3 linked regions of the Elephas maximus indicus genome follow. The protein of the gene in region 1 interacts with the protein of each later gene in a pairwise test. Links are inferred from orthologs where the notes say so. Each region holds a gene or a part of one and is shown on either strand. Other genes may lie near its edges.

Region 1 (3,747 bases):
CAATGAGATGGACTGACACAGTGGCTGCAAAAATAGCCTCAAACATAGCAACAACTGTGAGCATGGCACAGGACCGGGCAGTGTTTCCTTCCCTTTGTACATAGGGTTGCTATGAGTCGAAATTGACTTGAGGGCACCTAACAATAACAACGACGATGCTGAAATCAATTACAGCTGGCAGAAGGAAATGCCTAAGCAAGCCTTTCACTTCCCCATTCAAACTCTAAATAGTTATGTTCAGTTTTGTCCTCTGAGCTTGGCAACACTGGTAGCCATATAGGAAAATACTTTAGACTAGCCTATGTGTTTATGAAGATCACCAAAACACTCCCCCCAAAATTCTGTTTGTTTGTAATTGCACACAGATTTTTAAGGATGAAATAAATGAGATGCTTTATCAGAAATGTTAAAACAAAATTCCAAGAAAAACATGAATGGTGCTAAATTTTCTCAAAATTGTGAGAATAAAGCTAAATATAATCATATAGCACCTAGGAGAGAAGACTTATAGGGTTGCTATGAGTCGGAAGTGACTTGATGGCAACAGGTTTTTTTTTTTTTTTTCTTTTTTAAACGAAAGAAGACAGAACACAAACTCAAAAGAAGAGAGCAAAAAGGTACATTAAATTATTAGTATGCAGAACATCTTGGAGATGCCCCAGGACCCTAAAAGATTAAAGTCTAACAGCTGATCTCTGCCACTTTGTTGTAGAGTTAGAAATATTGGCTGTAATATAAAACCATAAGCTTGGAGTATTACTACCAACACAGGATATCAGCACTGTGCTTCACGGGGTCTAAGCTTCACAAGCCATCACTGCCAGTCAAAGCTAACCTACTGCTCTGGCTATACTACCTGCGTCAGATGTTTCGCCCTCACTGCTCCTCTCACCTGCGTTACTCCACAAAGACCCAACTGAACTTCCTTCCCAAAAAGTGTTTTTTACATTTACTAATCACTTTAACACCAATCATCTCATATGTCCTAACCAACAATTCTATGAGGTATAAAACACTGGTGTTGTCACTGCCATTTTATTTGATACTGTATAGGAGACAACTGAAACTACACCAAGGTTTAACACCTAGGTTCCTAGTCAGAACTGTTTCTAATCCAGGACAGTGTCTCCAGTTCAGTGGCAACTTTATACAGAATACGCCTGTAAGGCCAGATTTGGTTACACTCAGCTTCAACGGTCCTCATAATGTCTAATGACTGTAACAGCACTGACTCGTGATGATCTAGTTCAAAGTCCACGTTTGCAGAAGTGGACCTGCCATACTTCCTGTCTAAACCCCATAGAATCTGACTGCGACAGAGGTGACCAGCGACGACCAGATATGGAGCTTAGAGAAAATGTACAATGACAAGTACACGGTAGAAGAAAATGCACAAGAAGATCACGAAGAAATTAGTCTGCAGGTATCTTAACTGGATAACTTCAGCTACATTTGTGAGGAAACTTATTATCCATTTACAAATTGCAGAAATTTTAATCAAACATTAGGAAAATATATTTAAGAAATAGTAAAGAAATGAGGTATTAGGAGACAAAGGCCTTAGTCAAAGAAAGGTGAGTATGAAAAACACACACCCAAATCCTAACTGCAGACCTTTTTGGTTAGCAGCCCGACCACTTAACCACTACTCCACCCCGGTTTCCATCACATACTTAGCACTGATTTACTGAACCAATTATCCGGGAGGCATTGTGACTACCTAGATGAACAGGAAAAAGCTGTGTCTGCAAAGAGTTTCCGGAACTGCTTCAAAGAAAAGGGATAAAGACTCATATTATTTCTGATTTAACACGAGGCGATCCCGTACATCTCCAGTGGCAACAGACGCACCCAGGGAACCCAAATCATTTTGCCAGGTGTTTACAGGCCAAAGACAGAGTGTCTGAATCCATGCAGGAACTCGACTTTTCACGTACACACCCTATATTTGGGCTGGCTGGCTCAGGAAGCTTTAATAAAGCCCTAATGACAAATGCCGCTTCCGCGTCTATTCCCCGAGGCTGCGAGGCACACCAGAAGCCCAAGTCTCTTTGTTTTGCACCAGGAGCAGCGCTGGTCACAAACACGGAACCGCGGGGCCCAGTCGTCGCACCCCCGTCAGCTTGCGGAGGGTGGTCCGGGGACGGCGAAGCTCCGTCCCGAGCACCGCGACCACCGCGAACGGAAAGGCGTGGGGGGCAAGGCTGGCAAATGCAGACCGGAGCCGAGCCAAGGGCGGGGATCTCCGCCGGGCGGGGACGGAGGAAGCGCCTCCGGGGCGGCTTCCACGGCGCCCCACGACGGCTAGCCCCCGGGCTCCCTCTCCGCGGCTGCCTTGGCCAGCGCCCCGCAGACCCTCCGCCGCAGCTCGTCCCTAGTCAGGCCGCCGCGCCGACCCTCCCAGGCCGCACTCACCCCGGAGGACGCCTGGGCCCCCTCGTCCTCTTCGCCTCTCCAGGCCGGCGACGGAGGACGGACGGCCAGGTCGCAGAAGGCGGCGCCGAGCGGAGCCCGCTCCCCTCGGTGCGCGGCGGAGACGCGGTCCCAGCACCCCGGCCGCAGGGACGGCAGCGGCGGCGACGGCGGCAGCGCTGACCCGGACGCAGACACCGGCGACACCGGAAGTGACCGCATCCAGCCCTTCTCCAGGCGCAGCAGCCGGCGAGAGGGAGGCGGAGGCGGGATGTCTCCCGAAGCGCACGGGGTCTTCTCGACGGGCGCGGGCTGACAAGCGCGCATGCGCACTGTGGCCGTCCTCGTTCCCGCTGGGCGGGCCTTGGCGTGGACACCTTATTGGGGCGCCTGTAAGGCTGGTGGCGCTTCCTCGCAGCTTCCTCTCTTCTGGGGTGCGGCAGTTAGGTCCTAGAGCCATTGTTTTCATTTTATCTTTATTGATAATTATAATAACTATTGTAAAATAGATATCTCTTTAGTGACCCAATTATTTTCTGCTTTAAATTTTTTATTCATACCGTATGTTTTAATTAATGGAAGTATGCTGATTCTTGTGTCTGAATTTTTGGTAGGTAGTATAGTTTTTTTTCTTTCTTGCTCCGTGGTACGTATCACATACCACTAATTATGCCCCCGAGTGCTGCAGGGGGTCTGTTGGTACATACGCGTAACAAAAATTTTCAAAATCTTTATTTTTGCTACAAAAATTTCAAACAGCTCATTCAGTACCCTGTAAAAACAGTAAGTTGTGGCACAAGTCTGTTTCTTCAGTTTCAAACAGTCAAAGGCCCCTGCCTTTTGGCAACACACCTACCTGTAGGTGCTACAGCAGCTCCCCATTAAACTTCAGAGGCTGAAAAAGTTCCCTGTTGTCGCTATGAGTCGGAATCGACTCCACGGCACTGGGTTTTTTTTTTTATATGTACCCCCGGGGCACGAAAGTGATAAAAAGAGGAAGAAAAATAATCTAAGCCCTCATTTTGGGCAGGTAGACGTCAAAAGAATCCCTAGTTTGGTGAATTTTGTACAGTAGCACTTCTCAAACTGTTGGACATAACCTTTCTTTTTTAAATTTTCAATTCGTTGTGGACCGCACTTTTGTAAAATAAGCAAAATATTAGCAAAATAAAACAAAAAAGGCATACAAAGTATAAATTAAAAAGTTTTATTCTTAAAGTCAAGAGCTGTAAAATTGCCATAAAGGCTCCTAAACACTCAGATTTCTTCACTTGTTTCACGCAGTTCTCTGAAGCAAAACTGCTTCACAGCTTCAAGGAAATAAGAGTAGTTCGG
Region 2 (3,747 bases), on another chromosome or scaffold:
ATAATTACATGATGTTTTAAGCTAGTTTATAAAAGCCCTATGGGGAAATCTACACACTGACTTTATTTTTTCTGCAACACTGTGAAACATGCTTAGGAATCTATGAAACACGGGACCCGGTACCCTCCCCAGGGCCATTCATTCCCTCCCTCCCGCTGGCTGGAGAGAATCACTGTGCGAGCCCCATGCATTTCTTCACACCTGCGGAGAAAAGTACACAGCAGGGCCCAGGGAGGGTCCCCATGCCTGGCGCTCCATCACCCAGCGCCAACTGCAACATGATGTTGCATTCTTCGGTGACGTGGAGAAACAGCTCAGACCGCCTACCCTCCCATAATTCCACACCATCTGAAAATTGTAATATTTAGTACCATGGTATTCTTACAAACACTTATGAAACAGAACAATGGGTCAAATTTCCACTCTAACTGTGGCTTGTTACCAATCCCCGAAAGAGGTAAATTCTATAATTATTAGCTTTTAGGAGGTCGTTCCAATCTCCTAAGAGGCTTTTCACTGGATCATTACAATGTATTCCAAGCTACAGATTCTGACCAAGGGCTTAGTCATGCTGTACCAAAAAAAAAAAGACCTTGGAATTTAACTGTGCAAGCCATCAAAGCTCTAACTGATCTACATTGCACTTTAAATGGTATACACATCTTAAATTTTTGCTGTTTTCCCGCTCTATAAAAACTCATTTTTCCAAGTCCTCCTTATGACATGCTTACTACGTAAATTTTGAGCATATTCTTTCAATGAGAAAAAACAGACAGCAACAAATTTCAACAAAAACATCCATATATATACATCCGGGAACGACCTACAGGACCTACAAATCTTTAGCTAAAAAGCCATGCAATCCACCACGCGTCAATTTTACTTTTTTAATCTTTATTTTCATTTAAAGAATAACGTGCACAAATTTTGCAACCGAGAACGTACTCCGGACGGAGGCCGCGGCCAGCTGGGTCGCAGCAGCGCCAGCGTGCGCTAAGGCCGCGGACGGGAACCTCGCCCACCTGCCCGTGAGAAGACGGGGGCGCCGGCCAGACAGGGGGTCTGCAGCCGGGGCGGCTCCCATCGCCCGCGAGGGGCACCGGCGCGTCGGCCCAGGGCGGCGCCGCGGAGAGGGCGGCGGCCGGAAGGAAGAGGGAGGACCGGACAAAGCGAGCCCCGCCGCCGCGTCCCCGGGAACCGCCGCCCCGTCCCCGGGAACCGCCGCCCCTGCCCGCGGGAGAACGGCGCCGGGACGCGGGCGGCCGGGATGCAGGCGGACACCGGGATGGAGACCGGGATGAGGACGCAGCGCCCGCGGCAGTCACGGGGGCGGGAGAGGGGACCGGCGCGGGGCCGCGGCGGGGCCGAGACGCGCTCGGAATCGGGCCGGGACCGCCCGGCCGTCGCCGCGCCGCCGCACTCACCGTCCTGCTCCTGCGGGGGCCGCGCTCGCCACGCGCGGGCAGGACGCGGCGGGGCTGCGCGCGGAGGGGCGACGCTCTGAGGAGACGCTGCCTCGGCCGCTCCAGGCACAGCGCCGCAGTCACGAGCGAGGGACGCCGACGCCGCTGCCGCCGCCCCGCAGCATCCCCACTGGCTCGCGCCCCGTGTCTCCCGGCGCCGAGCGCAGCCCTCAGCTCCGCTCCGCGCTGCCGGATCCGCTTCCGCCGCCGAAAATGGCGTCTCCTCCCTCCCGGCGCGGCCGGCCCCGCCCCACAATGCCGCGCGCCGCCGCGCCCAGGATGACGTCACCCGCCCCCGCGCGCCGGGGGCGGGGCCAGCGCTCGGCGGGGGACTCGGGCCGCGGCGCCCACGCGGCTCCCGGGGGCTGCGCTGCCCACGCTCGGCGGCCGAGATCCGGGGGCGTCGCCGGGGTGGGCGCCGGGCTCTGGGGCAGGGAGAGGTGCGGCCCGGCTGGGCTGCTGGGACGCGGCCGTGGGGTGACCCGGCGCTTCGGCCGCCGCCCCTCCCAGCCGGTACCCGCCCGGAATGTGGTCGGAGGAGGTGCGCGCCTCGTCCACCCACGTCCCGGCCGCGGCCCCGGCCCACCCCGGGCGTGTCGGGCGCCAGACCCACGCTCCTGTGCCTGGTGTGAGGCTGACGCGCCCCCTACGTCCGCCCAGGGCCTGCAGGGAGGGCTCCCGTCTGCCCCCCCAAAGGTCACGATGCTGCCGACCTGCCCAGCCGGTGGCGAGCTCGAGGTCTCCCGGCCAGGGGGCCTGTCTCCGTTCTCCAGGAAAACTTAGAGTCGTGGGTCAAGACTCACCGCCACGCCCTCCCCATCTCATGCCCTCTCCCCCAGCCCCGGGAGCCTCAGGAATGCAGCTCAAGGGGACTTTCCAGGCGCGCCCCTCGGCCGCAGGCTCTCACACAAACTGCACTTGAGGCTGGGGGAAGGGACGGGATGCTGGACCAGCCGTGCCTGGCCAGAGACGAGATGCCCACCTCGGCTGTCGCACCCTGGCAGCCTCCCGGCCGTCCTGCAGACCACACCGCTTGCTGCAGCGCCTCGACCTCCAGCCCGCCTGAAGGGCAGTACTTCCAGGTCAGAGAGCGCCTGGGTCCTGTCCTGCCGCATCGCCAGTGCCGCAGGCTGACTCAGCAGCCACCCAGGCGGCCGCCGCAGATGCAGGGGGCCCAGCTCAGCCCTCTGCCTGCTGCCAGCTTGGGAGATCCCTCCTTCTGGGGACCTGCAAATGTCCCAAGGGCCAGGTGGTTCCCCTGCCAGCCCCTGCCCTTGTGAACCGCTGTCTTTTTCAGATGGTATCACCCAGCATCGACAGGCAGCCTTGTTTTGACCTGCAATTGTGCAGTCACCAGGCAAGTAAGCGCTCCCAGATTGTCACAAGCAGATCCAGCTACTTCGATCTGATTTATGAGTGCAAAGGGGGCGCTCCTAGGGTGACGCAGCAATTACAGGGCCCAAGGCAGAGGCCATGAAGCAGAGTGAAACGCACATACGCTGTTAGTGATTCTGGCCAAACCCCAGCCTAGCTATCACCCACCTTCCAGTGCTGCTCCTCAACCACGGTTAGGCTGGGCACAGCAGCTGTTTGGAAGGGTACGCACAGGTGTCTCCTGACTCACTGCCAAGTGCTGTGGAGGAGGGAGGACCAGGCCAGGTATGGGAAGTGGCACCTCCAGTCACCCATCGCCCAGGCAAGAAACCCGGAGCCCTGATGCCCTCTCCCCTGTACCCCACTTCCCACGGGTAGCCAAGATTCTACCTCCTTAAGATCTCCTTAGGTCACTGGTGGTCAGTGGTAGAATTCTTTTCTCCCATGCGGGAGACCCAGGTTCAGTTCCCAGCCAGTGCACCTCACGAACAGCCACCGCTTGTCTGTCGGTGGAGGGTTGCATGTTGCTGTGAAGCTGAACAGGTTTTTACGGAGCATCCAGACTAAGATGGACTAGGAAGAAAGACCTGGTGATCTGCTTGAAAAAACCAACCAGTGAAAACCCTATGGATCACAGCAACCCATCGCCACGGGGATGGCACAGGACCAGGTGGCATTTTGTTCCACAGGACATGAGATCACCATGAGTCAGGGGCTCAACTCGAGGACAGCCAACAACAACAACATATTTTTAGTGCATCCCCACTGCCCCCACCTGTGCAGGTTTATTACCTCATTCTTTATCCCTTCTACAAGTATTTGCCGAGCTCCTGAGATTCCCGCAAATAAGGGCCAAGGATGTGTTGGTGAACAGATATATAAGACCCCTGCTCTCGAGGAGTTTACTTCC
Region 3 (3,747 bases), on another chromosome or scaffold:
TGGTCTGTCCACTGTGAGTGCCTGATTTTAACACAAGCTAATAGCATGTGGGAAGTCCCTGGGTGATACAAGTGGTTTGCACTTGACTACTAACCTAAAAGTTGGCAGCCTGAACCCAGCTAGAAGCACCATGGAATTTTATCTGCTTCTGTAAGGTTACAGCCAAGAAAACACTATGGAACAGTTCTACTCTGTAACACATGAGTTGCCATGAGTCAAAATTGACTTAACAGCAGCAACAGATAATAGCAGGTAGGGCTAAGCCATAGTTCTCTGTTTTATTTCTTTTCTTCATCTTCCCCTCCTCCCCTTTCTTTTGAGTTTGGATTATTCTGGCAACTAGAATGCCTTGTAGTTTGACAAAAAACAGGATTTTTGAGCTTGTTCTGGGGCTAGGTTAGCAAGGTTCAAGGCTTCGCCAACATTTCAAGAGATTGTTTTTAAGAAATAAATTTTTTAATAAATGTCTTATGGAAAACAAGTCATAAGCATTTTTTGCAGTGCTCTCTAGTAGTGGGAACCGAGTGCCTTGATCTCTCTAAACGTATTGCCCAGGTGCTGTTGTCATCCAGGCACGCAATTGTGAGACAGCTGCCCTGAGCTAGGGAGGGATAGTGAAGGAAAATCAACCGCCTGGGTAGGATTAGCTGTCCTGCTCTCTCTTTCATTAGTTGCTGAGCTCTGGCCAACAAAGATAGTAAGGACTGGTACAGACCTGGAGCCCTGGTAGTACAGTGGTTAAGAGATGGGTTGCTAATCAAAAGGCTGGCAGTTTGAGTTCACCACCGCTCCTTGGCACCCTGTGGGGGAGTTCTGCTCTGCGCTATAAGGTTGCTATGAGTTGGAATCAACTCGACAGTGACATGCTTTTTTTTTTTTTTTTTGGTACAGACCTGGAGGTCAAAGTTTAACAGAAAGAGCTTTCACAGCAGCACACACACAGCTGGTCTTCTGTTCTTTCTTTCCAGTGGTCATCGAATTAAATGTCTCTGTGGGAAAAAGCTGTGGTTCAGGTTCTCAGAGTTTTAGTCAGCTTCTCTCTTACTTTTCCAGACTGCGAATATACTTTAAGGCTATTAAAAACATTTGCAGTGATGAAAAAAGAAGAAAAAAGGGCAGGGACTCAATGATCCCACCCCAACTTCCCTTTGTCCAGTGACAACTGCCTAATCACTTTAATGTGCTGTCTTGTTTCCCCTAGCAGTGGCAAAACAATCTTTGTAGGGGAAAAATAAATAAACCACTACCTTGCATTTTTGACTGGGGAATACAGCTACCTCGAGTGAGCCTGTTTCTCCAGGGTGATTTTGGCAATTGCTTTAAGTTTGGCTCCCTGGTGAGGGCGTTGTTCTATCTTGGATGTGGGTGAAGGGAGGGACAGAGAGGTCGGGAATCCCATTTAGATCACAGCCAAAAACAAACCAGGAAGTAAGGCGAAATTATTGCCGTCTGTACATAGCTCAGGATGTTAAAAGCAATAGCCTGGGCTGGTTGGTTATTCATTAGCAAAAAGGAAAGAGCAGTGGGGGTCAAGACTGGTCAAACTACAGGAACAGGCTTGAAGCAGGGAGACAGCCCCTGGCAAAGGCAAGGCGTGGAGATTTTACCTGGACTCACTGTCTTTCCCTTCTTCACTTTTCCTTGGGACAAAGGCAAGATGACTCTTTCCTGTTCTCAGACATTTGTCAAGATAAAGCCTTCTTAATTTTATTTTGTTTTTGTTGTGGCATTCTTAGGCAGACAAGAAGAAAAGACACCTACCTTCCCACGGAGCAGCTGCCTTGCTCCTCCTCGCTTTGGCTCTGGGGCAGCAGCTACCACCTCAGGAAGAAAGCAAGGTTCACTGCAGCCAGACCTGCCAGATTGTTTTGAAACAGGGTTTTTGCACACTCTCCAAAGCATGGTGAGTTGGTGCTGATTTCCAAGTCGCCTGGTGGAGGGCAAGAAAGTGGATCTGCAGAGACAAAGAGGAGAGGGAGAAGCCTCTCTCTCTTCCTCCCCACCAGGTAGAGCACCATGGGCAACGTCTGTCTGAGGCTCTGGGCATACTTGCAGCCCTGTCTGCCCTGCTTATTCCAGGAGGTAGTCAAGCCGGTGGTGATTGAGAATCCAGGAGCCCGTTGCTCCCCTGATGCTCCCCGGCCACAGAAGAACGAGCCTCAGAGAAGCCATGGCCACTACTTTGTGGCTCTGTTTGATTACCAGGCTCGGACAGCAGAGGACCTGAGCTTCCACGCAGGGGACAAGCTCCAAATCCTGGACAGTTCCCACGAGGGTTGGTGGTTTGCCAGACACTTGGAGAAAAGGGGAGACGGCTCTGGCCAGCAACTCCAGGGCTATATTCCTTCTAACTATGTCGCTGAGGACAGAAGCATAGAGGCAGAGCCGTGAGTAGTACAAACCCAAACTTTATTTTCCCACTCTCAGAAGACCGGGTAATGAGTTTTCCTCCCTACCTATCCACAACCCCCGAATTTCCAGAGAGCTGCCCAGAAAGTATGAGGAAGTCCTGGCAAGAACCTACTAATTGAAATACACCTCCCCCACCCAGTGAGAGTGAACTTGGCTGATAGTTGTTGTTGAAAGAACTTGTATTACAGAATGTATACCCACAGGCCCTGGGTGCATTTTCATCAATATAAACAAATGGTGCACTTAATACTTTACCTTTCCTTTGGCTATAAAACCACTCACACTTCACTTTAACGATAGTAAATCATAGGACTTCCCTAAACCACAGTTTCAGATCGAAAGTCCAGCTCTTCCTATTTATTTTTTTTAACCTTTGAAGCACTCCCCTAACTCTAATCCTAATCCTTTTTCATTCTGACAGCACACACGGGGCTAACTAACACAAAAGATAACATTTAGAGCAGAACAGTTTTTACTTACATTTTCCCCAGTGAAATCACGTGTAGGCATTTTTCCTTTGAATTCCAGACCTTGAGTTACGCTACCCAACTTAAAATATCTTTCAGTTTTTACTAGCATTGGAAACTGGCCAGACATTTACTTAAGTTTTAACAAAAAAAATAGTAAAAACAATGATCATTTCCTCAGAAGAGAAGATAAAGACTCTGTATTTGAATGAATTCTATGAATTATAGTGGAACAAAAGGGGAAAATTTTGTGTGTTTATTCATCCTACTCATTCATTCATCCATGCAAGTGCCAGGCACAGTAGTAGGCATGGTGTGTGTGGGGTAAGGATAGAGGGACTGACACTAGTCGTGTTGAGTATAAAGTGGATGAAGCATGCTTCTGACAATGGGTGCTTAGGGTTTGATGGGCTGAGAGGAAAGTGGAGACTGTTGTACTGCCTTGTCCGGTGAAACCCAAATAAGAGAGTGACTCACAGGAAATGGACTCATTATAGAATGGATTTTAGCTGAAGAACCATTGAAGTTTCACTCATCTTCTCCTGCAATCATTTTTTTTTTTTTTTAATGCAAGCTGGAGCACCTCTTATTGGCTGAAAAAGTAAGATGTTAAGGAGGAATCATGGACATTGTTGCAGTTTTCCAAACTCTCAAATCCAAATAAAAAAGGTAGCTAGGGAATTTTTGAGATTCTGAACAATGCCAGGAACCTACGGATGTAAAGATGGTTTTAAAATTTATGCCTAGACAGAGATTGTAATTTAAAATTTTGATGAAGTGAATCGATCAGTTCTTAAATGAGAACATTTTTTTTCAGCAATAACCTATAAGACATATCTTTACTTATTTATTAAATGTTTGCTTACGT

What was found.
Region 2: the proteins of BNIP2 (region 1) and KLC1 interact in binary tests that used the Homo sapiens proteins (3 or more experiments, as listed by UniProt). The two-hybrid records come from large-scale screens. The link is inferred for Elephas maximus indicus from reciprocal best matches to the Homo sapiens genes BNIP2 and KLC1.
Region 3: the proteins of BNIP2 (region 1) and FRK interact in binary tests that used the Homo sapiens proteins (3 or more experiments, as listed by UniProt). The two-hybrid records come from large-scale screens. The link is inferred for Elephas maximus indicus from reciprocal best matches to the Homo sapiens genes BNIP2 and FRK.

The regions. Positions count from the first base shown.
Region 1 is NC_064831.1:49,780,983-49,784,729, forward strand, and holds the start of BNIP2 (BCL2/adenovirus E1B 19 kDa protein-interacting protein 2), read right to left. Parts: upstream 2,698-3,747; 5' UTR 2,635-2,697; coding exon 2,416-2,634; intron 1-2,415.
Region 2 is NC_064828.1:117,880,743-117,884,489, reverse strand, and holds the start of KLC1 (kinesin light chain 1), read right to left. Parts: upstream 2,537-3,747; 5' UTR 2,446-2,536; intron 1,705-2,445; exon of another isoform or gene 1,425-1,704; intron 1-1,424. UniProt on the Homo sapiens protein: Kinesin is a microtubule-associated force-producing protein that may play a role in organelle transport. The light chain may function in coupling of cargo to the heavy chain or in the modulation of its ATPase activity.
Region 3 is NC_064819.1:182,618,781-182,622,527, reverse strand, and holds the start of FRK (tyrosine-protein kinase FRK), read left to right. Parts: upstream 1-1,441; 5' UTR 1,442-2,016; coding exon 2,017-2,387; intron 2,388-3,747. UniProt on the Homo sapiens protein: Non-receptor tyrosine-protein kinase that negatively regulates cell proliferation.